Linked DNA regions of Sus scrofa. The protein of the gene in region 3 purifies or fractionates together with the protein of the main gene of each other region. This does not show direct contact. Links are inferred from orthologs where the notes say so. Each region holds a gene or a part of one and is shown on either strand. Other genes may lie near its edges. The genes, in order: ANKRD52, ARHGEF2, PPP6C, PPP6R3, PPP6R2, ANKRD44 and TIPRL.

The links.
Region 1: the proteins of PPP6C (region 3) and ANKRD52 purify together in Homo sapiens (affinity purification with mass spectrometry; 6 studies listed by BioGRID and IntAct, with this or other methods). This does not show direct contact. The link is inferred for Sus scrofa from reciprocal best matches to the Homo sapiens genes PPP6C and ANKRD52.
Region 2: the proteins of PPP6C (region 3) and ARHGEF2 purify together in Homo sapiens (affinity purification with mass spectrometry; 4 studies listed by BioGRID and IntAct, with this or other methods). This does not show direct contact. The link is inferred for Sus scrofa from reciprocal best matches to the Homo sapiens genes PPP6C and ARHGEF2.
Region 4: the proteins of PPP6C (region 3) and PPP6R3 purify together in Homo sapiens (affinity purification with mass spectrometry; 10 studies listed by BioGRID and IntAct, with this or other methods). This does not show direct contact. The link is inferred for Sus scrofa from reciprocal best matches to the Homo sapiens genes PPP6C and PPP6R3.
Region 5: the proteins of PPP6C (region 3) and PPP6R2 purify together in Homo sapiens (affinity purification with mass spectrometry; 9 studies listed by BioGRID and IntAct, counting the BioPlex papers as one, with this or other methods). This does not show direct contact. The link is inferred for Sus scrofa from reciprocal best matches to the Homo sapiens genes PPP6C and PPP6R2.
Region 6: the proteins of PPP6C (region 3) and ANKRD44 purify together in Homo sapiens (affinity purification with mass spectrometry; 5 studies listed by BioGRID and IntAct, counting the BioPlex papers as one, with this or other methods). This does not show direct contact. The link is inferred for Sus scrofa from reciprocal best matches to the Homo sapiens genes PPP6C and ANKRD44.
Region 7: the proteins of PPP6C (region 3) and TIPRL purify together in Homo sapiens (co-immunoprecipitation; 4 studies listed by BioGRID and IntAct, with this or other methods). This does not show direct contact. The link is inferred for Sus scrofa from reciprocal best matches to the Homo sapiens genes PPP6C and TIPRL.

What each region holds. Positions count from the first base shown.
Region 1 is NC_010447.5:21,654,290-21,658,508, reverse strand, and holds the start of ANKRD52 (serine/threonine-protein phosphatase 6 regulatory ankyrin repeat subunit C), read left to right. Parts: upstream 1-1,419; 5' UTR 1,420-1,538; coding exon 1,539-1,565; intron 1,566-1,872; coding exon 1,873-1,956; intron 1,957-2,416; coding exon 2,417-2,495; intron 2,496-2,698; coding exon 2,699-2,769; intron 2,770-3,772; coding exon 3,773-3,973; intron 3,974-4,219. UniProt on the Homo sapiens protein: Putative regulatory subunit of protein phosphatase 6 (PP6) that may be involved in the recognition of phosphoprotein substrates.
Region 2 is NC_010446.5:94,067,891-94,071,390, reverse strand, and holds part of ARHGEF2 (rho guanine nucleotide exchange factor 2), read right to left. Parts: coding exon 3,409-3,500; intron 3,204-3,408; coding exon 3,078-3,203; intron 2,765-3,077; coding exon 2,647-2,764; intron 2,445-2,646; coding exon 2,196-2,444; intron 150-2,195; coding exon 73-149; intron 1-72. UniProt on the Homo sapiens protein: Activates Rho-GTPases by promoting the exchange of GDP for GTP.
Region 3 is NC_010443.5:265,895,347-265,899,405, forward strand, and holds the start of PPP6C (serine/threonine-protein phosphatase 6 catalytic subunit), read right to left. Parts: upstream 2,801-4,059; 5' UTR 2,703-2,800; coding exon 2,628-2,702; intron 1-2,627.
Region 4 is NC_010444.4:4,411,922-4,415,421, reverse strand, and holds part of PPP6R3 (serine/threonine-protein phosphatase 6 regulatory subunit 3), read left to right. Parts: intron 1-289; coding exon 290-420; intron 421-2,798; coding exon 2,799-2,920; intron 2,921-3,500.
Region 5 is NC_010447.5:338,728-342,992, reverse strand, and holds the start of PPP6R2 (serine/threonine-protein phosphatase 6 regulatory subunit 2), read left to right. Parts: upstream 1-1,465; 5' UTR 1,466-1,595; intron 1,596-4,265. UniProt on the Homo sapiens protein: Regulatory subunit of protein phosphatase 6 (PP6). May function as a scaffolding PP6 subunit. Involved in the PP6-mediated dephosphorylation of NFKBIE opposing its degradation in response to TNF-alpha.
Region 6 is NC_010457.5:100,870,878-100,873,786, forward strand, and holds part of ANKRD44 (serine/threonine-protein phosphatase 6 regulatory ankyrin repeat subunit B), read right to left. Parts: intron 1,881-2,909; coding exon 1,633-1,880; 3' UTR 565-1,632; coding exon of another isoform or gene 506-564; 3' UTR 1-505. UniProt on the Homo sapiens protein: Putative regulatory subunit of protein phosphatase 6 (PP6) that may be involved in the recognition of phosphoprotein substrates.
Region 7 is NC_010446.5:82,791,966-82,796,173, reverse strand, and holds the start of TIPRL (TIP41-like protein), read left to right. Parts: upstream 1-1,408; 5' UTR 1,409-1,620; coding exon 1,621-1,724; intron 1,725-1,771; exon of another isoform or gene 1,772-3,156; intron 3,157-4,208. UniProt on the Homo sapiens protein: May be a allosteric regulator of serine/threonine-protein phosphatase 2A (PP2A). Isoform 1 inhibits catalytic activity of the PP2A(D) core complex in vitro. The PP2A(C):TIPRL complex does not show phosphatase activity.

The DNA.
Region 1 (4,219 bases), on a different chromosome or scaffold from region 3:
GCCTCAGCTGTGGCATATAGAGGTTCCCAGGCTAGGGGTCCAATCGGAGCTACAGCTGCAAGCCTATACTACAGCCATAGGAACACAGGATCTGAGCTGTGTCTGTGACCTACACTACAGCTCACAGCAACGCCAGACTAACCCACTGACTGAGGCCAGGGATCGAACCAGCAACCTCGTGGTTACTAGTTGGATTCGTTTGCACTGTGCCACAATGGGAACTCCAGCAATATTTCTGCCTTGATAGGAGGCCAACAAGATATTCTTTCTAAAAGTGTTCCTTTCTTAAACACATGATTTGCTGACCTCTAAACAGGACACTGTTTAATTTAATGTATTTATTTATTTGACTGGGCCTATGGCATGCCAAAGTTCCAAGGCCAGGGATTCAACCCAGGCTACAGGAGCGATCCAAGCTACAAGCAGTGACAACCTGCTTAATCCTCTAAGCCATCAGGGAACTCCCTACCTTTCATAAATCGTATCCGTTTTTCAATATCCACTTTTCTTCTTCCCTCTTTTTCCCTTTCTGGGAAAGGATAACCTCCATCCAAATCTTGTCTGATTGGCAGCTCTCTGGTCTCTTTCATGGAAGAGGGGAAGCACCTCATCCCTTTTCTGGAGAGAAACCATCGAGACTTTTATTTATTTTAATTTTTTATTATAGTTGATTTACAATATTCTGTCAATTTATGCTGTACAGCAAAGTGACCCAGTCATTCCATTGAGCCTTTTAAAGTGTAGCCACCCTACCACCTTAACCTGGCAATGAGCAATTAGAGAATTGAAAAGGCCCCTTCTGTTGCTCTTGGAGGCCGTCTTCGGCTGCCAGCTGTCCTAGACTCTTTGTGGGGTTTTCTGTGGCTGAAAGTCCTCGGTTTTATTTCTCTGCCATTTGGGCAGTTTTGCTTTCCTTTCTACTCAATTCTTGTCACCGCCGGTGGAGATACGCACCTTCCCTCCCTCTGGGGCCATTGCCATACATAATCCCCCGATCTCTACACCCCTGCCTCACCAAGCCTGTGTGTGTGTTTGGGGGGGGGGTGGATTTTGAGGTGTGTAATCCTGGGACCGGAGGAGTTTGCTCCAGCGGAGGCATTGTGGGCTCGGTGAGATCTGGCCAGCCGTTTGGTCCTCAGGTTGCAAGGTACTGCAGCAGGGCCAAGGCCAGAATTGCCGCTGGAGTTTCGCAGTGAATCCTTCGGGTCTCCAGACTGGAGCCAAGAGCACTGCGCTCCGGGCCTGGGGGAATCGGGGACCCGGAGAGCGAGGTCGGGGGCGCCGGGGCTGCTCAGGCAGCCAGGGCGGGGCGGAGGGCGACGCGGACCCAGTCTGCCTGCGCGGCAAGTGCTCTGCGGCCGGGCCCAGGACGGCCGCCAGGGAGCGCTGCGGGCTCCCGCTCGCCCGCCCCCCGGTAGGCGGGGCCGCGCTCTCCCCGCAGCCGCCGCCGCAACCGCCGCCTGGGCCGCCCCGTGTCCCCGGTGGAGCCGCCGCCGCCGCCGCCGGGAGCTCGATGCGGACGGAGCCCGGGCCGGGCCATGGGGATCCTCAGCATCACGGACCAGGTCAGCCCTCCTGCCCTTACTCGCTTCCTCCTTCCAGGGCCCGGCGCCGCCGCCACGCGAGCCCGGGGATGTGCGGCCTAGGTTGGGCCCGAGCCCGGGGCTCCCGCCCCGCCCCATGCCGCGGTCCCCTCAGCCAAGCCGGTGTCCTTGGGGGCCTGGCGACCGGCGGAGACGCCGTGGGAGCTCCCTGCAGCCTGGACCCCGGAGCAGAGCCCCTCCAGCGACGCCCCCCCTAAAACCGGGTGTCCCCCGCCCCCCTCCCCGGTTCCGCTCCGGCCCGCTCCCTGAACGCCGGTTCTCCCTGCAGCCGCCCCTGGTCCAGGCCATCTTTAGCCGAGATGTGGAGGAAGTGCGTTCCCTCCTCTCGCAGAAGGAGAACATCAATGTGCTGGTGAGTTGGGATCAGGGAGGATGACGAACCGGTAATCTCGGCCCTGGTGTTCTGGACCCCTCCCCACTAATGGGGCGGCTCCGTGTCTCCTCGGCTCGCGTGAGGCCGCAGCTCTTTCCACCCTGAGACGGGAGACTGCTCTACATTTGGGGATGGAGAGCAGGTCAGGCTTGGAGCACAGACTAGTGGGGCTGAGGATGCCCAGAAACGGTGTTCTCTTCTGAACCATCCGTGTCTGCAGCGCCCCCACCCTCCTGGAAGAAGGAGATTGCTTCGCCGGCCCCTGGCCCAGACCCCTTCACTCCACCCTCCCTAGGTGTTTGCTTCGACCTAGGATCGGGATTCACGAGGCTGTAGAGCCTATGGGAAAAGGTTGTGGGGAAAAGCTTGGAGCACCAAGACGGGCTGAGGTCCTGGATAGTTCCACCCCCACAGCCGCTCCTCTTTTCTGCCTTCCCAGGACCAAGAGAGGCGAACCCCACTGCATGCTGCTGCCTACGTAGGCGATGTCCCCATCCTCCAGTTGCTACTGATGTCAGGTGAACAGTGGGGAGCTGGAAGGTGTGGCACCTAGGGAGGGAATCTGAGGGAGGAGCCCTTTTTTTTCCGTATCCAAGGATTGTCCTCTGGTGCTTGGTCCAGGCAAGGTTCCTTCTCCATCCAGATTCCCTGGCCTGATTACTGGCTTCCTTCCCCACCTGCTCTCCACCTCCCACCAGAAGAGCAAATTATATCCCCACAGGTGCTAATGTCAACGCTAAGGACACACTGTGGCTGACCCCTCTTCATCGTGCTGCTGCCTCCCGAAATGAGGTACTCGCCTCCCTCTTCCTTTCACCCTTCCAAAGAGGATGAGTTGGTTAAAGGTGGAAGATAAGGGTTGGCGCTTCTCCGGTCCTCTGGCCTACAAGCTGGTCTACCCTCAGATGGGGAGGAGACCAGACCTTGGCCCCTCCCTCCTACCCCTAGAACTGGCTGGTAAGGGGGGTGCTGAGTGTTGCCAGCTGATGTGACGTCAAGGGAGAGCTTAGCACTGGGCTGTCAGACTGCAGGGGGCCCTGCTGCCAGGCCTGAGTGACTCATCCCTCCCTGGGGGGCCACCTTGGAGTCCGATCCCCCTCTGGGCACTGAGATTTCTTCCTTGTGATGGAAGGGTGGGGGTGGTGTTCTGTTGCTTCCTCAACAGAATAAAAGTTGGCAGCTCAGGGATCAAACATGTTTCATCTGTTGGGTCCCTCAACCCTGAAGAGTGGGAAAAGGAGACCTTCCTCTTGGTTTGGCAGTCACTTCCCTGGCTCCAGCCACCAGGGGGAGGGACAGAGGCCAGTGGGAATGGGGGTGGTGTGTGACTAGGAGGGGCATTTTAGCCTTGAGTTATGGAGCGGAACCAGTATCTGTTTGCTTACCTAGGTAATGGAATTGATTTTGATGTCTACGGAAGGGCTGACAGGGTGGGGGCTGCTGTTGAGGGCATTAAAGTAGCGGGAATATATTCCTAGAAGTGATGGGGGATTGAGATCCTCTATGTGTAGATTTGCTTGGTAGTGGCTATATATGTGTAGGTGGTGATTTTCAGGATCTAGGTTGGGGAATGGTACCAGGTAGCTTGAGGAAGAGGTCCATATTTTCCTCAGCAAGGTAGGGAAGATTTTAAGCTCTAACAAGATCCAAAAGATGGGAAATAGATGTTGAGAGACTAGGTATGTTGGAAAAACAAAAAGAGACTCTGTGCTCAGGGTGTGGGGAGATGGGACCATAGGTACTGTGCTGACCTGTTCGTCCCTCTGTCTTCTCTCTTATCCCTACCCCTCCACAGAAGGTGCTGGGACTGCTGCTGGCACATTCAGCAGATGTGAATGCCCGGGACAAGCTGTGGCAGACACCATTGCATGTGGCTGCTGCCAACCGGGCGACCAAGTGTGCTGAGGCTCTGGCACCCCTATTGAGCAGCCTCAACGTGGCTGACAGGAGCGGGCGCAGTGCCCTGCACCACGCAGTGCACAGTGGGCATTTGGAGGTGAGGGCCTCTCCAGTGCAGTCCCAGCCTCATGCCTTTTTCCTTTCCTTCCTGCTCACCTTACCCTTCTTCTGAGCCTTCAGGCCTGGGGAGGAGCAGCCCAGATGATACAAACTCTTCAGCTTAAGCACCCAATGAATGATTGGGTTAGATTGAAATTCTTTGGAGTTCCTATGGTGGTATGGCAGAAACGAATCCGACTAGAAACCATGAGGTTGCAGGTTCGATCTCTGGCCTTGTTCAGTG
Region 2 (3,500 bases), on a different chromosome or scaffold from region 3:
CTGGAGTAGGAAATCAAGAAGGGGCCTGAAACACTTGTCTGTGCTGAGAAAGGAGAAGGTGGAAGGTCTCACCAGGGCAGGAAAGATGTACTTCTGGTCCTTCTCCTGGAGAAACACCAGCACATCTGTCATCAGCAGCATCAGCACATCTGACAGGAGGATAAAGGCAGGAGAACACTCAGCATTGGAGGGTGTGAGCAGCTGTTTCCCTTTCTCAGGAACCAGGTCTACCCCGTCAGGCTAGAGCTCCTGATTCCCCTCTTCCTGATCTCTCTGCCTCTGGTTTGCTCCCTCTACCTTTGCAGACTCCCCCTGATCCATTCTTACAGCTCAGGAATTGGGAGAAAAATGTATGTGCCATTAGATAAAACAGCTTCTTGGGCTAAAGCGCCCATAAGCAATCACCCAATGCCTTTGAAAAAAACACTCTATCCAGGGGATGCAGGTTTCTTAACCTGGGGTCTACAGATCCCTAGGATGTCCACTGTTGGGCTTCAGGGCTCTGCAAAGCCTCCAAAGTTGCATAAGCAATTTTACATATTCATACAACACACGTGTAATTTTCAGTGTGCAAAGGTCCAGAATTTATGTGAGGGTAAAAGGATTCCATCCACAGTAGGAGGGACTACTGTTTTTAAGCCTTTCAGTTCCATGTCAAACAACAATCATAAGACCTTTCTGGACATTTGGCCTAAGGTCACCCTATCCCACCACCCCTGCCCCTACCCTGGCGTAGTCCTACTTCTCATTTTGTGCTCCTCCGCAGGGAGGGGAGCAGCTAGCTTCCTTATCCCCCTCTCCCACCGTTGAACAATCCCAGTCTCCAACCTCAGCAGGCCCTGCTTTCATGCTCCTTCTCTACCCCACCTTCCAGGTTCTCAAGATCCTACGAGGTCCTGTGCTCTCAATTTAAAACTTAGGGGGCAGTTCTCTGGTGCCTCCAAGAAGGGTTAAGGATCTGGCATTATCACTGCTGTGGTACCAGTTTGATCCCTGGCCTTGGAACTTCTGCATGCCTCAGGCGTGACCGAAAAAAAAAAGACTTGGGGGAAACAAAGGTCAAGCCCATGAAAACTGGATAGCACAGTCAAGCAAACACACTCACTCTGCCCTTGGAGATCTAATAGTGGGCACACAGAAGGGGAGGGCTTTCACTAAATGCTTCAGAAATAAAGCTCTCCAGCCTTGCTATTTTTAATCCCCCCCAGAGTTTATATTCTTAGCTTCTGCGTGGGAGGGATGAGAGGAGAGAAAGGGATGAAGGAAAGTGGCTGGTGAAGCCTGTGATACTCAAGCCCATGGAGTGGGGATTTCATGATATGGGACAGAGGTGCAGGCAGGTTCTGGTCTCAGGTAGTACTGGTTACTTCTGCCCCTCATTCCTCACCCCCAAAGCCGAAAACTGCAACTCTCTTGTCTTGATTTAGGTAGGAAAGACTTGGCCAGAGCAGTCTGGGAAGAGAGCCTGGGAAAGCATGCCCTGCCCCAACATGCCCCCTCTGTACTCTCTTCTCTACCCTGCTGGCCCCTCCCTGGGCTCCGCCCCCTCCCCTGGGCCTTCCCCAACTGTGCTCCCAAAACTCCTGCCCATTCCCCAGCCCCAGCAGCTGGGATTCAAGCTGGAAGAATCAACCCTGATCTCTGACCCTGGAATTTCTCTGTCTTCCTGATCAAAACTGGTAGGTTTCTGGGTATACAAGGACCAAAAAAAAAAAAAAAAAAAAATCACTAAGGAAGTCCTTGTATGGCCCATGAAATTAAATCCAGAATTCAGACTTTTGTTGCAACAGAGAACATGTATTTTCCTCCCATGAGGTTTCACCCAGGATATAGGGCTGCATAAATAAGTCCTGAAGGAGGAGTAGCTCAGTGGTTAACGAACCCGACTAGTATCCAGGAGGACGAAGGTTCAATCCTGGCCTTGCTCAGTGGGTTAAGGATCCCGCATTGCCATGAGCTATGTTGTAGGTCACAGATGTGGCTGGGATTTCATGTTGATGTGGCTATGGCTGGCAGCTATAGCTCTGATTGAACCTCTAGCCTGGGAATCTCCATATGCCACAGGTACAACCCTAAAAAGACAAAAGACCAAAAAAAAAAAAAAAAAAAGTCCTAAGTGTTTGGATGCTTCTCCCTCTCTAAATCTGATCGTGGACTCGCAGACTCTTCCCTGGTCTGCCAAGCTGACCACTGACCTTTGAAGCGCCCCGCTGCTGTCTTCCAGAGCAGGCAACCATCGTGAATGAGCTTGCGCCGCAGAAGCTCCTCTCGGCCAAAGGGGCCCTTGCCAGGCACTGGGGTCTGGGCCCTGGGGTCCATGCGGTTGTAGATCTCCTGCAGGCGGGCCCCCTTCTCCAGCTCATGTACATCCTGGTCCACATTGGACAGCAGCTCCTTTACCAGCCCCAGTGCCGTCGTCAGGTCCTGGCGCTCCTCCTCGATCCCTGGCACCACGGGTCGGCGTGAGGGAGAAGTGGCTTAGCCAGCTTCATGCCAGCCACCATACTCCAACCCATCTCACCTCACCATCAGAGGTGGCCCACGGTCCCACAGCTGACTCTATCTCTCCTCTTGGTTATCCCAAGCCGCTTCTCACCCCAGAGAGCCCTCTCCCCATCTTCTTTCCTCCCGGGTCCTCCCTCTCACCGTGGGTATGCTGCAGGATGCGGCTGATGAGCACCGGGTACTTGGTGATGCGCTGAGTCACCAGCAGGATGCACTCCTGTACCCCATGGCGCTTCAGCACGGCTGAGCGGGTCACTTTCTAGAAGGACAGAGGCAGGGCTCAGGGCCAAGGTGGGACCCGAGCCGAGGACAACAGAAAGAACCCTGGACTTGGAGCCTAAGCCCTGGTGTGGGCCCTAGCTTGGCCATTTACCATGCGCTGGCTGGCATAGGTGACTGAGACTGGAAAATGGGGAGGACAAGGCCATGGGTTTATCATGAGGCTCAAAGTAGCAAAAGCACTTGGTCTACTGCTATGGGGGGCTGTTGACAGGATCCACAGGCAGATGTGTCTACAAGGGCTGGACCACCGGAGGAGGTTCTGAGTTTGGGTCCTGGAGAGGGTTGCTCACCCGGATAAACTGCTGGAAGCGTTTGTCTCGGGCATAGAGCTCCTTATAGAGCTTTAAGGCCTTGGTGTGGCGGCTACAGAACTCCGAATAGGTCTTCCGCATCTGGTCTGCGCTGGGACCTGAGAACTAGAAGTTGGGGGAGCAAGGCTGGGTCAGCATTTCCCCCAAAGCCACCTCTTATCCCCCACACCCTCTAGTCTCCTGCCATACAGGCTGGCTTCCAAGCCTCTCCAGCTCTCCCTGGCTCCACCCCCTAGAGTTTGGAGCTGAAAAATGACTTTAGTCACACCTCCTCCCAGGAATGTTGCCCATGGGTCTTGTCTTTTCTCACCTGGGTGATGAGAAGGTCACCCAAGCGATGGATGACAAAGTTCCGGGGGCTGCCAGGGCACAGAGCCTGGCGTCGGCGTTCTAACAGCTGGC
Region 3 (4,059 bases):
CTATAAGATCAGATAGAGGCTGAATAAGGAGGTGAGATAGTAGTTCATCAAATCTCAGAAAACAGCAAGGGAGGATTCTTTGAAGCTTTACGAAGGCACTTCAAACAGGTATGACTTTGCAGAGCAGGTGGCCTTATATGAAAAACTCAGAGATGGCTCAAACTAAACATAAAAGTGAGTCTCCAAAAGATTACATTAACTATTATCCATAAAGGTGGTTATTTTTCCCTGTATTACATGAGATAGACACTAATATTCTCCAAACTCCTACCACAGAAACCATCTTCAGTTCTTCAGTAAAAAAAAATGAACACCAACTCAGTGTGCAACTTCTTTACTTACGCGGCACCTTTGAGAACTGTCAGAGAGATCAGACAATCTCCAAGTCATAGAATCTCTCCTCTGCCAAAATTCTAAAGTCTAAATATTCAATAAACCTGCATTTTATCATTCATTCTTCCAACTGGCCACAAATGGAATCTACACCTTCTATGATACACTGTGAGATATTTACCGTGGATGAGAATCACATGAAGTCTTTTTTAAGAAAGATTATGCTTTGGTCCACTCACTTGCACATATCATCCTTATTCCTTCAAAACAGTTAAGTAGATTTGTTCAAGGACTAGCAATCTAACCACTTCCAATTTAAATATAGAGATTTCATGATTAGATCTGGAACATCCTACGCATTTCTTTTTTTAGAGCCGCACCCGCAGCATATGGAGGTCCCTAGGCTAAGGGTCGAACAGGAGCTGCAGCCACTGGCCTATGCCACAGCCACAGCAACGTGAGGTCCAAGCCACATCTGTAACCTACACCACAGCTCATGACAACACCAGATCCTTAACCCACCGAGCGAGGCCAGGGATCGAACCTTTGTCCTCATGGATGCTAATAAGATTCGTTTGCACAGAGCCACAACAGGAACTCCCCGCATTTATTTCATTTAGTACCTCCAACTAAATTTAAAACACAGGTAAATTTCTGTCTTTTTCTACCAGAACAAATCTTTTTCCATGATGATCATTAAGTGGCCCCAATTATTTATTTCGTTCCTTTGATGGAATATTTTACTTTGGCTTTAACGCCTCAGAAAAAGTGCTCCTGGAATACTTTCTTGGCAGGCTTAATTTTAGTTTGTACTTCATGCCAAGAGGTATAAAATTAAATTTCTTTAAATACACAAGAGATGCAGTACAAGAAAATTAATCTGATAAAAACATTTCCAAGACAAAGAAGAGAAGCCTCCACTTACATAGAAAAAAATCAGAACTCTTTTTTTTCTAGTAGTTGGCCGGGGGGGGGGGGGGGCGGGGGGGAAGAACAGATACACACTAAGTGCAGTCCAACTGTGTTGCAAAGAGAAATGATATGGTTTAAAAACTATATTTTCTTAGGTTGGGAAGGAAACTTAATGTTTATCAAACTAAGAAGTCGAAAGAAAATCCAAGGGAGTTCCCGCTATGGCTCAGTGATAACGAAGCCGACCAGTATCTATGAGGAAAAGAAAAAACCAGTAATATCTTCCTTAAGGGGAAAAAAAGTTAATGGACAATAATAAATTACGTTAAACCCAGAGCTTCAAGAATAAAAAGGACTCAAAAGTATCAACAGTTTGTGCATGCTCCACACATCAAATCAAGGTTAGCTTAACACATAAAACATGCGCTAGTACTAATGGCTCAAACACTGCTAGACGCTTGAGCACTGGTTTTAACAAACGCATTGCAACACCTGTCTAAAAAGCAGTATCCCAAAGACTTATCTCTCTTTATTCTTCCACTCATTTCTTTACCCAAACACACATTTATTGTTACCCGGACTCGGCAGTACAAGGAACGACTCATCTCCTTTGAAAAACCAAGAAAACGAAAAGAGCTAAGAAGGGACTTGGGGGAAACACCTTAAAGGACAGAAAAGTATATTTATCGAGAGCCCACTACTTTATGCACATAAATTAGCTCAACAGTGTACTCGAAAACAGGGTCATATTGTAATTAGCGAAAGAAGACCAACACTCCTAAAAAGCAACCGGGAGAAGTGAGCGGTCCGGAAGAGGGACGACTTGACGTCCTCTCGCATCACCATCAAACCGCTCGGACCCCCATCAGCCCTTTCCCACCCTCATTTCTCAGGGAAAGAAACACACTGGGGCCGCGTGCCGGCGGCCGGCGGCATCTCCTGTCAGACGCCGGCACCCCGCGTTCCCGTCCCGCTCCTGGAGGAATGAACCCAGGCCACTCCCCGCGGGGGCCCGGCTCGGACTCCGGAAGACCGGGGGTCGAGCTGAAGGAAAGGGGGTCTTGCAAGCAAAGCTGTTAGGGCTCGGTGCCCTGGGGCAGCCCCAAGGCCAGGAGCGGCAACTCTGGGGCAGAGGCCGTGACACATCCCTCGGGAACCCCGCGGAGGGAACCGGGACAGCATTCGGCAGACTCGGGCTCCCCTCCTCTCCCCGCGTGACGTCCAGTCGGACCGGGTCCCTCTGCACCGCTTTAGGCCTTCCACCGTGACGGGACAGGATCCCGCCGGGGGTCCCGCGGAGAGAGGAAGGGCGGGCCGGCGGGCGCCCCACTGCCGGAAGGGACAAGCCCCGAAAGCAGCGTTCCCGCCTCGGCCGGGCTCACCTTCAGGTCGTTCTCGGGCAGGTACTTGCATAGACGCGCTATCTCCACATACTTGTCCAAGTCCAGGGGCGCCATTTTAGAAATAACAAGCCCCGACAGCGGCGGCGATATCGGCGGCTTTACTAGCTGCGGCAGCGGCGGAGGCCGAAGCCGGAACCCTCCCTACGTCACATCCGGCCTGTGAGAGGCGTCTGCGCAGCGGCGTAAAGTTTGACCCGATTTTCCCCGCTGCCTTGGCACGCCCCACGCCCTCGCCGGCTAAAACCAGGTTGCGGGCCCTTAGAGGCCCCCAGTTTGCATAGAGCAAGACCGGCTGAGACCCTTAGTGGTCTGCCGCGGGGGTTGCTGGGATTTGTAGTTTTCCAAAGTACCAAACAGTCTTCTTTTTCTTTTCTTCCTCTGGACTTTCACCTCTGCGGAACCCAGCGAGGCTTTTCCGGTACAAAACAGCGAAGTAGGTGACTCTACCTAGCCATTCCCTAGTTTCTCACGCCGACCTTCTTAAGCATTCTCTCACCAGAATGTCTTCAGTTAAAAATTGGATAAGCCTGGCCATCGTAGCAACCTATTCGCACCTTTCCAAGGCCCTGTGAAAACCTTGGCTGAACCCTTGACAGATAGGTTACCAACTTTCCAGGCTGGAAAGAAAAGGACCAAATACTAAGCACTTCTTATGCTAATCGTTATACAAATGCTGTTTTTCCGTGTAATCCTCATAACAAGTGATAGGAAAGGAAGGCTCAGAGAGGTTATGTAACTCTTAATCTGATCTCAATAGGGAATAGTCGGGAAGCCAAGATTGGAATAGGTCTGGTTGGTTTAAGTCTACTTCAGTCCCACGAGAGCTGAGAGGTTTTTTGTTGTTGTTGTACTCTCAGCACCAAAAACAGAGCCTGGCACTTAGTATACTTTCAACATTTCTTCACTCAACAGCTTTTTTTCTTTTTCTTTTTCTTTTTCTTTTTTTTTAGGGCCTCACCTTTGGCATATGGAAGTTGCCAGGCTAGGGGTCAAATCAGAGCTGCAGCTGCCGGCCTACCTCACAGCCACTTGGGATCCCAGCCACATTTTCGACCTACACCAGGGCTCAGGGCAATGCCAGATCCTTAACCCACTGAGCGAGGCCAGGGATCAATTCTGCATCCTCATGGATACTAGTTGAGTTCCTTACCCTAGGCTGAGCCACACAGGAACTCCCACTCAACAGCTATTAATTGAACACTTAACTAAATGCCAAGTACAGTTATGCTTGGGGTATTCAGCAGGCAAAACAAAGATCCCTATCCTCTAACTGTAGCTATATTCTAGTAAAGGAGACAGTAAATAATAACTATAGTAAATAACCGTAGAGTATATTAGAAAGTGGTAGGTGCTGGGGAAAAAAAAAAAAAAAGCCGAGTAAGGGAGTTCTAGCAATGCATATTTAAGAATC
Region 4 (3,500 bases), on a different chromosome or scaffold from region 3:
GGGGTGGCAGGGAGGCTCTCAGGCTTGAAATGAGGCTTTCATTTGGTGGCAGTGGGTGTATGTGGGCAGGTTTCTTGTCTGCCGGTTGTGAAGCCAGTCTTTTGGGGGGGACTTTTGGTTGTTACTTACCCAGAAGCTGACATTTGATGCTTATCACGTTTTATTTTGGTGTATGTGGTAGGGTGCTGTTCTTTTTAAGGGACATGGAAGAATTCATTTACATTGGTGAGTTTGGGAGAAAATAACTTGGCTTTCAGATTTGTTCTTTTGGTCTCGTCTCTTTATTTAGGGGAACATTGCCTTGTTTGAAGCTTGCTGTAAGGAACGAATACAGCAGTTTGACGATGGGGGCTCTGACGAGGAGGACATCTGGGAGGAAAAGCACGTCGCCTTCACGCCGGAGTCCCAGAGGCGATCCAGGTGAAAGATAGTGCGTCGTCGTCGCAGCCACAGCACCCAGTGCACAGAGCAGATGGTCCTTAGGAGACACTGTATCCTCTCCAGACGTGCGCTTGACCGAGAGGCCGGTGGTCCCTCGTGATGAGAAATGCCGTGATTGAGAAACAGGTGTCGCGATCAGTGGGCTGCGGTGTGAGGAGAGCATGAGCAAGCCAAGGAAACCTCCTTGGGAACCCCCGAAGGGAAGACAGTGCTTAGTGTTTAGACGGAGGTCCGGCGCCGCCGTGGGGAGCGACGCAGTGCTTTGGGTGGACGGTCCCTTAGCAGTGGCAACAGCAGCCGTGTGAGGAATCGCTTCCTAGGAAGACTGAACGTCTCCCTGGGAAGGGAAAAGTTGCCTCTAAAAGTTAATTTAACTTGGGGAGACGGCGTCCCGTCGATTGGTATCCATCGAGCCTCTCCCCCCGCCCCCAGTTTCTAAAATTCAGTCGGTCCAGAAACCCCAATTAAAATGCAGAGCTTGTCAGACTGGTTGGAAAATAAGGTCTGACTTATGCTGCCTGTGGGACATAAATTATTTAAAAACTCAAGTTGTAAATTAAAAAAATTCAAACAGGTTAAAGGAAAAGGTAGAGGAATCTGTATGAACATTCAAGTAGATTTAAAGGAAAGGGTGAAGAAAGGGCCACAGAGCGGCGTTAGGAGGGCGTCCGAACAGCCCCAGGTGTCCCACAGCTGCGGGGCTTCCCAGAGCAAAGCTGCTCGAGCTGCGCAGAGAAGCAGGCGGGAAGCGTGTGCCAAGCGAGGCCATACTGGGCCATAGAGCAAGTCTCAGTAAAAAAGTTTCAAGTCATGACTAAATACGCTCTCTGCTCCCAATGGAGTTAAATGAGAAATCAATAAAAGAGCTCTAGAAAGTTCCAGATATGTGGAAACTAAAGAACATGCGATGAAAGAAGAAATCAAAGGGGAAATTACATAGTGTTTTGAATTGAAAGGAAATGAAAACGCCGTCTATCAGAATTTGGAGGTTGTAGCTGATGCAGTACTGAAGGGATCGTATGCTGAAACCTGTACAACGGCTCAGAGAAATCAAGGCTTGAGAAATGTTTATGGACTGGAAGACTTAAGATGACAGTTCTCCCCAGGGTGATTTCAGTTGAGTGCGTTCTCAAAGTCACAACGGCACGGATTTTTGGTATTGACAAGTAGATTTTTAAACTCGTATTGAAAATGCGAAGAACCTGAAATAGCCAGAACAGCTTTGGTAAATAACAGACTTGAGGTGTTCACACTGCCTGTTTTCACTGTGCAGTGATTGAGACAGGGTCCTCCTTCAGGCAGGGGCCAGGGCGGGGACAGGATAGAGAGCCCCCAAACAGGCCTGTGCACGCGTGCGTGGGGCCCTTGGTGTGTGGTGGGAGGGGCAGAGGCTGTGCCGTGGAGAAGGATAGCGTTTTGAAAAACGGGTGCTGGAGCAGTTGGATGTCAGCCTGTGAATCAGGGAATTTGGTCCGTAGCCAACGTGGATACACGTTAACTGAGAGTGCGTCTTAGACCGAGGGTGCAATGTAAAACTGGAAAATGTTTCCTAGGAGCCCTTCGTGTCAGGCAGAGATTTCCAGGCTACAGCACCAGAAGCACCTGCCTGAGAGGAAATTTTGATAACTTAAGCTTTATCAAAATTAAACCCGTTATTTTTCGAAGACACTTGAGAGAATGAAAGGACGTAGCATACGTTAAGAGAAAGCCTTGGCACATCACATGTCTGATGAGAGATTGCCAGGTAGAGGATATAAAGAACTCTCAAAACTCTAGTCACAAAAAAATGATGGGAGTTCCCGTCATGGCTCAGTGGTTAATGAATCTGACTAGGAACCACGAGGCTGCGGGTTCGATCCCTGGCCTTGCTCTGTGGGTTAAGTTGCCGTGAGCTGTGGTGTAGGTTGCAGACGTGGCTCGGATCCTATGTTGCTGTGGCTCCGATTTGATCCCTGCCCTGAGAAATCCCATATGTCGTGGGTACAGCTCTTAAAAAAAAAAAAAAAAAAAAAATGGCTAAAGGTGTGAAAGACACTCGAGAAAAGAAGGTAAGCAGGTGACCAAGGGCCCTTGAAAAGAAGCTCATCTCCTAGGCCCTCAGGGCGGGCAGACCCACCGCCAGGGCCGCCGCCACACACCCGCCGGAGGGCGCTGGGTTAGCTTGTGACCTCTGTTCTCCACGCAAAGCCCAGGAGGTAGAGCCGCTGATGACCAGGCTTCGTCTTAGCAGGGTGCCAGGCAGGCAGGTGTGACCCAGGTGAAGCGTGGCACAGTTTGTGTGGTTGCATAACTCGAGGTCTTTGAACGTAGTGGGTGGCCGGTGTGCAGCATCACACGTCTTGGTCCTTCTTTCTTAGCTCGGGGAGCACAGACAGTGAGGAGAGCACGGACTCTGAAGAAGAAGATGGAGCAAAGCCGGACTTGTTTGAACCCAGTGGCGCCAACGCGGAGGACAAGATGGAGGTGGACTTGAATGAGCGTAAGTCGCCTTTCTCTTCTGTGCCAGTGCCTGAGTGTCGGACACGGACGTTCCAACCCGGCCCCCTGGCCCGCGGCGTCCGAGTCGCGCTCTGAAGGAGCAGGCGGTCCTCTGAGTCCTCAAAGCGGTGAGCCTCAGGGACCGGGCCTCGGGGGGAGCGCGTCGCGCCTCTGATGGGAGCGCGTCTGTCTGCAGCGGAAGCCCTCGGGGGAGAGCCTGGCTGGGGACAGCGCGCGGGCACGTCTGCCCCCGGCGTGGAGACGGGGTCCTGCGGCCGAAGGGGGAGACCAGGGACCCCGGAGCCGTGAGGACACGCTGCGCTCTTTAGACTCGGGACAGCGGAGGAGCTTGACAGTTTCGGGCGGGGTCCTGAGCCTGTCTGAATCCCGTGATCCTAAGACTGGTTTAGCCAAGGGCTAGTGGATATTTTGTTGTTTGTTAGGAAGGCTTGCGTTGCTGGCCTTTGAAAAAAATACGTTAACTTCTAAAAGCTCGGGTAAATTTTTATGTGAAAGAGCCGTGCGGGTTGATACCGGCCTTGCTTCAAAACTGGCAGTGCTTCCTGTTACCCAGGAAGGCC
Region 5 (4,265 bases), on a different chromosome or scaffold from region 3:
TTTTCAGTCTCCAATTTCATCAACTTCATCCAGTATATATTTTTACTTCAGATGTATTTTTTCAGTTGTAGAATAGTCATTTTTGTTTTTCTATGTAGTTTGAGTTCTCTGCTGAGATTTTACTTTTTCACTCATTCTCTCTATTCTGCTTTAAGTCCTTGAACATGCGTATTATAACTGTGTGTGGCAGGCACAGCCAAGAAATAAATAAAAATATAGCTATCATGTCATTTTAGAAGAGAATTGTAGTGTCATCTAATACCAGTCCCTATTCAGATTTCTCCAGCAGCTTGAAAAATACCCTCTTCCAGGAGTTCCCCTTGTGGCTCAGTGGAAACGAATCTGATTAGCATCCATGAGAACGCAGGTTCAATCCCTGGACTTGCTCAGTGGGTTAAGGATCTGGCATTGCCGTGAGCAGTGGTGCGGGTCCAAGACGCGGCTTGGATGTGACGTTGCTGTGGCTGTGGTGGAGGCCGGCAGCTACAGCTCCGATTCAACCCCTAGCCTGGAACCTCTATATGGCTTGGGTGCTGCCCCCAAAAGACACACACACACACGCTCTTCCAGTTGATTTGTTTTATTTTTTTATTTTTGATTTTTTTTTTTTGTCTTTTTAGGGCCATACCCATGGCATATGGAGGTTCCCAGGCTAGGGGTCGAATCGGAGCTACAGCTTCCAGCCTGCACCACAGCTCATGGCAATGCCAGATCCTTAACCCACTGAGCGAGGCCTGGGCTCAAACCTGCAACCTCTTGGTTCCTAGTTGGATTGTTTCTGCTGCGCCACAATGGGAACTCCTAGTCGATCTGTTTTAATTGGACCCAAACAAGATCTAAATATTACATTTGATAATTATGTCTCATAAAGCTCTTATGTTTCAGAATGGTAACTCCTTATTGCTAAAGTATAATTTTCAAAAGTTAAAAATCATGATCCATGCAAACACAAAATAAACAGTTCTGGGCCCTACTGGTTCGTTTTTGCTGCATGTCTTGAAGGCAGTCATCTCAGCAAGGACCACTAGTCATGTTGTTTGGAAGGGTGTTTTGAGACCCACCAGGAGCGCTTGGGAGTTCTCCTCTTCTGACGTAGCGATGGATCATCAGTGAGCTGCCCGGTCACCTCGCGACCAGGGTCAGCGGCCTGGTCACCTTGCCACCAGGGTCTGTGTTTCCTGCTGATGGTAGTGTCTGGGCATGAAGCTGGACACCTTCAGGCCCGAGAGCCTTCTCATGTCCTTGTATTCTAACCGTTGAGGTAGTTAATAGTTAACAGACGTAGGACAGGTGTGTATCATTGGTACCCGTCTCTAGAACAGTCAAACGCAAGGAAGTTTCTAGACCCCTGATTATAAAATTTGATTAGTAAGTAAAGACAACGACTTGTTTTTCTTTTCCTTAGCATTTTGGTAAGTTAACTTCACAAAAGCAGAACCTAAGTTTTTTCCCTCTTATTTTTCAGGTGAAGAGATTATAAATCTTCTATTGAGTGAAAATATTTTTCTTAAGGTTGCATATACGCCAAGAAAAAATCCCAAATGTTTTTATATTTTGCCTAAATACAAAGTTTAAACAAGAAGTTTCCACGGAAGGTAAGATAATTTTTGTTTGATTCTACTTTATTGTGTAATTTGCGTAAATATGCTGTATAAGTGGACATTCAGAGATGGATGACAGCAAAAAATTTCAGTTTTGAAGATGTGCATAGAGTTTCCTGACTTGTGGGTTTTGTTTTCTTTCCTTTTTTGGTTATACTGGCAGCCTATGAAAGTTCCCAGGCCAGGGATGGAATACGAGCCGCATCTGCAACCTGGGCCACAGCTGCTCCACGGTGGGAATGCCACTCCTGGGGTTTTTTTGACCCTCCTGTGTCTGGTTTTGAGATGCCGTGTTGCGAAAAAGTGCCTTGGTCCCTCCAAGCCCAAGTGTAATCCAGATAAAAACGGGTGCATTGGGCGTGTGTAGAGAGGCCCATGCCCTGCCTTACCTGTGGGAAGGCCTCCACCTGCCAGGTGGGATGGGGGGACTTGTGCTCCTGCAGCGGTAGGTGCTCCTGAAAGGCCTCCCATTGCCGTCCACTGAGAGGCTGGGTAAATGACAGATGCGCGACCTCTTGTGAGTGCCCTGGCGCAAGCTAACTGCTCAGAGGCCGAGAGGACAAGAAGAGATAGCACCCTTTCGCTCCTTGCTGAAGAAAGCGTAAATCCTTTTCAGAGCAAAGCAGACTCAGTGTAGGCCCTCAGGACTCCACTGATTAAATGTCAGCAAACTTGAGCACACGCACACACACCTTGTGATCGGAGTGGGCATGATTAGGTGCCCCAGCGAGTGCAGGCGTCCAGTACTCAGACACAGTATATGTGATAATGCGTGAAGTGTGTAAAGAAATACAAAATGGAATAAAAATTAGTAATGAAAACCGAAGTGTCACAGTGATCCACTTAGAACTTTCAGAAATGAAAAAAAAAGTTGAAATAAAAAACTCAGTACTTGTGGATTAGACAGATTAAACATGACTGAAGGCAGAAGTAGTGAACTGGAATATATCCCTAAAGAGGCTCTCCCGGGTGCAGCCGGGAGACGGGAGATGGGAAGTGGCACTCAGAGAAGTGGAGGGTGAGGTGCGTGTCCTGAAAAACACAGTTGGAGCCCAGGATGGAAAAGTGGGAAGAGGAGGAGAGCCGTTACGCAAAGTGTTAGTAGCTTTGACTCAGCGAGAGAGAGAGAGCGTAGCTTTAGAAAGCACTCTGTGTCCTAAGCAGTGTAAACAGGAGGAAACCCCGAGCTCCCCCTGTGTCGCAACGGGAGCGGTGATGTCGGCAGCGCTGGGATGCAGCTTCAATCCCCAGCCTGGCACAGTGGGTTAAAGATCCCCGGCATTGCCACAGCTGTGGTGTAGGTCGAACTGTAGCTCGGATCTGACGCCTGGCTGAGGAACTCCAAATTCCTTGGGGAGGCCAAAAAGGAAAAAAAAAAAAAAGGTAACTCACACTCCTACATTGAAATTGTACGGCAGCAAAGACAAAAAAGCCTTAAGTGAGGTTGAGCTAGGTCTCCTTAGCTTGAGTAGAGGCCGATAGAGAGCAGAGCAGTTCCTCCGTGTGGTGAGAGAATGTACATTTCAGTACATGTTGTGCGTCAGGTATATTTGCAGAAGAACAGCACAGTTTTTCTGTGCTTTTGGTAAATGTTGGGCTGGGTATTTGCACAACCTACTACCCCACATTTCCTTACCCTGTAAAAAAAAACAACTAAAATTGTTGCATTCAAGAAAAAAAACCAGGAGTTCCCTGGTAGCCTAGCGGTTAAGGATTCGGCATTATCGCTGTTGGGGCCTGGGTTTGATCCCTGGTCTGGGAACTTCCACGTGCCTCACGTGTGGCCAAAAGAAAAACCAAAGGACTGACAATAGAGCAGGCAAGTTTTAGACCAAAATGTAACAGAATTATAACCCAGAAGGTGATTTAATCAGGATAGGATGGACTCTGCCTTGGCCTCAGGACATTTGTTGGTCTGGACAGAGTGTGGCTTTGATTTCAGAGGCCTTGTTGTTCTCTGCAGGGGAGATGTCCAGTTCTCACAGTGTGCAGAGAGCTTAAAGGGGGCTCTTCTCGGTTAAGTGGGGCCTGGCGGTCGGCGTCCTCGGAGGCAGGGTGAACTGGAAGTGTACCTCCTCACGTCATCCCGGCCCCCACCTGGTTATCTTTTACTAAACGTAGCAGGGGGAAAAAAGCTTGTGGCAGTGGATGGACCTTTAAAGGGCGTGTAGCCCAGGTCTACATTGCCTGGTAGTTCTAGGACGTGAAACATGAATTGAAGGTTTTCTGGTTTGGTAATGCCTTCAAACATCCATGGGACCAAACTTAAAACCTCTTTGGAGGAAGTTACCATCATCCTAAAATGCAAAAAATTGGAGTTCCCACTGTGACGCAGTGGTTAACAAACGCGACTAGAATTGATGAGGACAGGGGTTCGATCCCTGGCCTCGCTCAGTGGGTTAAGGATCCAGTGTTGCCGTGAGCTGTGGTGTAGGTCACAGACGTGGCTCGGATCCGGCGTTGCTGTGGCTGTGGTTTAGGCCGGCAGCTGTAGCTCTGATTAGACCCCTAGCCTGGGAACCTCTGTATGCTGTAGGTGTGGCCTTAAAAAGCAAAAAAAGCAAAAAAAAAAAAAAAAAAAAAACCCCAGAAAACCCTAAAATGCAAAAACTCCCTGTGGGTGTATGTATACTTTTGGCCATACCTGTGGTGTGGGGCAGTTCC
Region 6 (2,909 bases), on a different chromosome or scaffold from region 3:
CGGATGGAAACCTCAGCAGTGGAAATGCTGGGCTTGGCCCCAGGACTGCAAGCCAGCAGTATTTGTATTTTCCGGCTTTGTCATTATTCCAAGTAAGACACATAGCAGTTAAAACAGAGAATAAACAATGGATGTTTCCTCGGGCATTTGTTTGTTTCAAATAAATATAAACACATTTACATCAAAAGTATAGGAACATTTTCTCTAGTTTGGCAAAAAATAAGCCATGGTCAACACATTACCAGTTACAAATGTTAAGCCATCAACTAGAAATCTGTGTCGTAAGAAATATAAAACACAACAAAGACTGTTACACAAAAAGATTACATTTTTAACTCCATAGAAAAGCTATTTCAGTTCTCATTTTCATTTTGAAGGAAAACAATTTAAATCTTCCATTTTAGATTGAAGCATTTTGGTCCTCATGTATAGCTGGCTGATGAACTACAGACATATATACACATACACATATGTGTGCGTGTTTAATTGCATAATTTAAAGAGTCTCATTCTTCTTTTTGTACAGCTAATCCAGGTGCGAAACGGGGTCCATTTGACCTAGAAGCTTTGGCAGAGGGAGCACAGTATTCACTATGGTGATTTCATCCTCAAGCAACTTTAACTGGTTTTAATTTCCATATCACCCATGTCTACCCCATGTTTCCACTTTCTTTGTTCCCTTTGGTCGTCACATTTCCACTCATTGGTCATGACCTTGACTGGGGAGCTCATTTCACATTTTACTCTTGAGGAACAACACTGATGGTTCTTAGGCTTTTATAAAACTAGTATTTTGATGTACAAAGGGTCATATTACATCTGCATATGTCTCAAGGTTTTGGTTTAATACACTTTTCTCCTGAAATGTTACTAAAGAGATTGGGACTCAATGAATCAGGTTAAAATTAGTCGCAGGCTTGTTACGGGGAGCGCTGGGTGCTGTGTTTGTGTTAAATGAAGAAAGCGAGTTTGGTTTTCAATGAATTTTTCCCTTCCTCTGGCAACTGTCACAAAAATCCTCAAAAAGAAGTTCTGGATATTTAAGGGCTTACTGTTGAGAGGATATGAATAATTGGACTCCCTTGAAAAGATTATTACAGGCATTATTTCTGAAGATGAACACCTCTACCTTTGGCTTCTAGTGAGGAGGTAAACATCAAAGTGAGAAGAGGTTTGAGGCATTTCCTATCCACCCCTTCCTTCCCCTCCTTGGGGTCATGAATGTCACATTGATATACTTCTGAGAACTCACGGTTGAGTAAGTACATGAAAAAAACAAACAAACAAAAAAAAACAGCTTTACAGAGAACAGCTCCCTCTCAATAATTGCATGATCCTCAAAGAAAAAGAATTAAATGCATTTTTCATTCCTTACTTAAAATGAGAGGTAGACTTTCCATAGAAGTATCTTGGATCTAAGGAAAACATGAAACAAATCAAAATTGAGGCCCATCTGCATGGGTGCTTTGCCCTACGGCCTAGCTGCCTTCCCTCGGTTTGATGAATTCCTTCTCTACTGGCTTCTGGAAGCTTGGGCCCATAATAATACTGGAACACAACATTAACCTGGAATTCGAACTTCTTTCCCTTGCTCCAACATGGGTGATCAAGGAAAAGCTGCTACAGTCCAAAGTCAGAACGTTTCCGAATCAGAATCATTTTCATTGTACCCATCCTCCGAGCCTACGTTGTTACTGCACAGGCTAACCATGCTACCCAGGTTGGAGAGGGTCGTCCTGCTCAAACTGTCTTTTTTAAAACAAACGAAGTTGACAGCCGTCATTGTGCTGGAAGGAGAAAAAGTCATCATGGTAGCCAGAATGAGGGCCAGGCAGTCAGCCACCTCTTTGTTAGGAGCACAAGCCAGGGCCGGGGTATGACCTGGGCGTAAATGCAGACAAGGCAGTGGTTAGTCTGGGCAGTCCAGTGCGGCGTGAGCATCCCGCAGTACATCTCAAGATGTATGTCAAGTTAGCAATCATGCCAGGCAAGAGGAGTTAACTTCCCGCAAGTCATGCTTGGGGCGAGGCTGGAGGGGACCGGGAGGGGGAGACATTGGATCGGGGGTGGGGGTTGGTTTGGTTCTCCCCCGCCCCCGGCTTACATGACAACAACAAGCACTGTATTATCTGAAGTTAGGCAGAATTCCAGTCTTCATCTAGTGAACAGAAACACGAGGGGGCGGGGGTAGGGCACAATTCCACAAAGAACAGCCACAGGACAATCAAAAAAGACATTCTCCCTTGAGAGCACACGCACACACCACGTGCCTCGGGCAGGGGCCAGGCACTCTCATTCTGAGAACAATGACTTTCCACTGTAGGTATTCGTGTATCAGGTTAGAAAGGATACTGAGATCCAGGTGTCTGTGGGAGTCAGTAACACCGTTTGGTCACGTTATATGCATTTTATATGAAGCACACACCAGGCAACTGGTTCTAAAGAAATGGAATCATCTGAGTAGATCAGACATGGGAAAGCAATGGTTGTGACTGTGCTATCATTTAAAAGAAACTTAGGGAGTTCCCGTCGTGGCGCAGTGGTTAACGAATCCGACTAGGAACCATGAGGTTGCGGGTTCGGTCCCTGCCCTTGCTCAGTGGGTTAAGGATCCGGCGTTGCCGTGAGCTGTGGTGTAGGTTGCAGACGCGGCTCGGATCCCGCGTTGCTGTGGCTCTGGCGTAGGCCGGCGGCTACAGCTCCGATTAGACCCCTAGCCTGGGAACCCCCATATGCCGCGGAAGCGGCCCAAAGAAATAGCAAAAAAAAGACAAAAAAAAAAAAAAAAAAAAAAAAAAAAAAAAAAGAAACTTAAACGGAATTAAAAAAAAAATAGCAACCCCATCAGCCAAAGTCCCAAATCCTAAAGGTAAAAGATGTGGGGAAACGGCTGATTGCCATCAAGTCGTG
Region 7 (4,208 bases), on a different chromosome or scaffold from region 3:
CTAAGAAGAAGGAGTGATTAAATCCAGCTCCAGAGTTCAGAAAAAGCCTTTTGGAGGAGATGTATCATTCCAAGGCAGATCATCCCAGGTTAGGGAAAGGGATGGGGGCTGGAGAATCTATAGTTCTAAAAGGTGCCAGGTTGACTCTGAAATGGGACAGGTCTGAGTATGACAGTTTCAAGCAGATAGAACAGCAAGAGTAAGGGCCCAAAGGTTGGGCTGAGTGCTGGTGAGTAGGGCTGAGAGGGAGTTGAAAATGGGGCCAGAAAGAAAGATTTGGGAGAAGTTCCCATTGTGGCAAAGCGGAAACGAATCCAACTAGTATCCTTGAGGATTCAGGTTTGATCTCTGGCCTTGCTCCAGTGGGTTAAGGATCAGGCATTGCCGTGAGCTATGGTGTAGGTAGCAGATGATGCTCAGATCCAGCATTGCTACGGCTGTGGTGCAGGCTGGTAGGTGTAGGTTGGATTTGACCCCTAGCCTGGGAACCTCCACATTCCTTGGGCACAGACCTAAAAAGCCAAAAAAAAAAAAAAGATTTGATAGACACCCTAAGAGCAAGGGATTTTTTTTTTTTTCTAATTTATTTTGGCCCCGCTGGCATGTGGGAGTTCCCAGGCCAGGAAAGCATACTATTTTAGGCAGCTGAAGCCAAAATCATTAGTTAAGTGGTTTGCCAAGGATGCATAAAACATCATTGTAAAAGATGATTTAGTACGGGTCTAAAGTGCTGTTTCCACTATACCAGATGCTTAGGTGATAGCTAGACCAGGAAAGTCCTGAAATGTCTGAACGATGAATTCTTTTTTTAGGGCCACACCCACGGCATAAGGAGAGTCCCAGGCCAAGGGTCAAATAGGAGCTATAGCTGCCGGCCTATGCCACAGTCACCGCAATGCCAGATCCCTTAACATACTGACTGAGCGAGGCCAGGGATCGAACCCGCAACCTCATGGGTCCTAGTCGGATTAGTTTCCGCTGCGCCACGACAGGAATTCCTGAATGAGGAAATTTTTGATAGGAGTCTTAATCGATAGCAGCTAGATGTCCAATTCTGGGTCACGTAGCTCTTGATGTTGACCTAAGCTCCTGGACTCTTAAGTGATTTTAAAATTTTGGCCTCAATGGGAAAATGTAGGGCATTTCCTCTCTACCCTAATTCACCAACACGCGAGGTAACTCGCTGCTTTGCAAAGTTGGCTAGGATCACGTTCAACTCACCTTTTCCACCGTGGAGCTTCCATTAAACATGCCCTGAGACGACGTCATTGCAGCAGCTCAGGGAGCGGTGCACCCCGACCACACCTCCTGAGTCGAGGCCTCTCCCCTCAGCATTTTCTCACCGCCTTTTTCCCGGTGCGTCTTGACGTAATACGTAGGTCACGCAACCTTGGCAACTGCTCCCGGAAGCAAAACCCGAGGGGCGGAGAAGAAGGTGGAAAGTTGGGCCTGCGTCCGGGTCGGCCGGCAGGGGGCGGGGCCGGGCATGGTAACGGCTGGGAAGCCGAGGGGGCTGGGCCGGAGCAAGGCGGAGGGAGCGGTGTCCGCTACCGCTGTCGCTGCCGCTGCCACCGCTGCTCCAACCTGTTCTGCGTAGCCCACGCGGGCTCCATCGCAGCCATGATGATCCACGGCTTCCAGAGCAGCCACCAGGACTTCTCCTTCGGGCCCTGGAAGCTGACGGCATCCAAGACCCACATCATGAAGTCAGCGGATGTAGAGAAGTGAGACTCCAGGGCTGAGATCCGGGCGCGGGCTGGGGAGCTGGGCCTGCGCGGGAGGCAAGGGCGAGCTCCCCGCAGCCCCAGCCTTCCTCTGGGGCGGAGGCTTGGACGGGACCTTTGAATGGCAACACCAGGAAATATTGCTATCACTGCCTTCTGTCCTTCGGTTCAGGTTTCAGGCGCTGCCTTCGTGAAACTGTCATTCCGCTTGGGTTTGAGCAGAGCATGACTGTTCCGGTGGACTTTCGCCTCCCATGGTTCTCTACCTGCCCCAGCCTGCGCCACCTTTAGACTATTTCTGGGTGGCTGTGACCTCTTTTCTTGGGGTTTAATAACGGAGATGATATATATGCTTGATTTTTAGCTTGTCAGGTGCTATGCCAGGCATTTAAGATACAGAAGACAATCCCGACCTCGAGGAACTCAGTCTTGTGAGAATGACAGTTATAATACAGTGTGAATTGATAGAAGTGTATATACAGGGTTATTCGAGATTATTTAGGGAAACAAGGCATGCGGGAAATTGGGATGTCTGCACTGAATCTTGATAAAGTCGGTGGAATTGGGTGAGGGTGGAAGGCATGTGTAAAGGTGGAGGGCCAGGGAAAGTGACAGCTGTGCCGCGTTTGTGATGCCTGAGCTCGACAGAATTTGGGGGTGACAGGAGACACGTGTAAAGCTGGGAGGTCAGAGAGAGTGGGAGCCTTAAAGCACTGTTTCTGTGTGATTGCAGCATGAAGGATCGGAGGGGGACTGCTGTTGTGAGAAGCCAGAGGCAAGCAGGTCCTTGGGCAGTAAAGATAACTGAGAGAACTTTTATGCCGGGCTAAGGAGTTTTGATTTGGGGGCGGGGGGGCTATGCTCGGGACATGTGGAAGTTCCCTGGCCAGGGATGGAATCCACACCACAGCAGCAACCCAATCCCCTGTAGTGACAGCAGCTGGATCCTTAATCTGCTGCACCACAAGAGAATTTAAGTAGTTTTGAGTTTTATCTGACTACCACTGGGGGTCTTTTTTTTTTTTAAGTGTTTGGCCTCACCTGTGGCACATGGAAGTTCCATGGCCAGGGGTTGCACCATAGCTGTTGTATAGTTATGCTGTAGGCCACAGGGAAAGTCCATGGGTGTCATTTTATAGAAAGGAGCGATATTATCAGATTACACCCTGAAAGAATTCTCTGGAGCTGATGCAGAGGATGGATTGGAAGGATGTAGGCCTGGGTAAGGAGACAGTTGGAAGGGGAGAGAAGAGAGATTTTAGAAGATTAAGTCCCTGAATTTGATGGCTGCTTGATAGGAGGAGGAAGGAAAAAGGAAGAATCTGTACCATTGGCAAGATTTCTGGCTTGCTGTTGCAGGGAAAGCATTGCTATTGGACAAGGTGAGAAACACAGGAGGAGGAGCAGAATGGAGGCATGTGTTGGATAGAAGGTGAGATTAGTTTGTTGAAGAGTGTCTTAGGCATTTATCTTGGAGCTTAAAAAAAGATGACTTGTCCATGATTTAGCTTTGGGAATCATCAGCTTATAGTTGATATACCTGAATACCTGGGAGTGAATTAAAATCATTTGGAAGTCAAACAGAAGAAAAGGAAAAGGTTATGAGATGGGACCCTAGGGAGCACAGGCATTTTAAGATTTAGGTAGAGGAAAGTAACCAGGGAAGAGAGGAGAGTCATGAAAGGATATTTAACTTCCTAATTAAAAAAAAAGGAAACATTCTCACAGTCACTAAGAAAAATTAAGAAAATACAGAAAAGAAAGGAAAAAGAAATCCCTTCATCCTATCACAGTTACTCTGAGTTTTTCGCTCCATGTAACTTTCTCTATTACATATTGCACCACATATTTGTAATTGTGCTATATATGAACTAGTCAGCTTCAAATTATGATTACCCATGTAATTTTCAGACTATTTAAGAGGTACTAGATGGATGGAGAATTTTGTTTTGTTTTGTTTGTTTTTAGGGCTGTACCCTAGGCATGTGGAAGTTTCCAGGCTAGGGGTCCAATTGGAACTGCAGCTGCTGGCCTACAGCAACGCCAGATCCAAGCTCCATCTGTCACTTTCACCGCAGCTCTCTGAAACACCGGATCCTTAACCCACTGAGCGAGGCGAGGGATTGAACCCACATCCTCATGGATACTAGTTGGATTCTTTGTTTTTCAGGGCTGCACCAGCGGCATATGAAAGTTCCCAGGTTAGGGTTCAAACTGGAGCTGTAGCTGCTGGCCTATGCCACAACCACAGCAATGCCAGTTCCAAGCCTCGTCCGCAACCTACACCACAGCCCCACAGCAACGCTGTATCCTTAACCCACTAAGTTAGGCCAGGGATAGAACCCTCATCCTTATGGATATTAGTCGATTCTTAACCTGGTGAGCCACAATGGGAACTCCATGGAGAGTTTTAAGAGAATCAAATTCCAGATCTTGAGAATTCCATCACGGTGCAGTGGAAATGAGTCCTACTAGGAACCATGA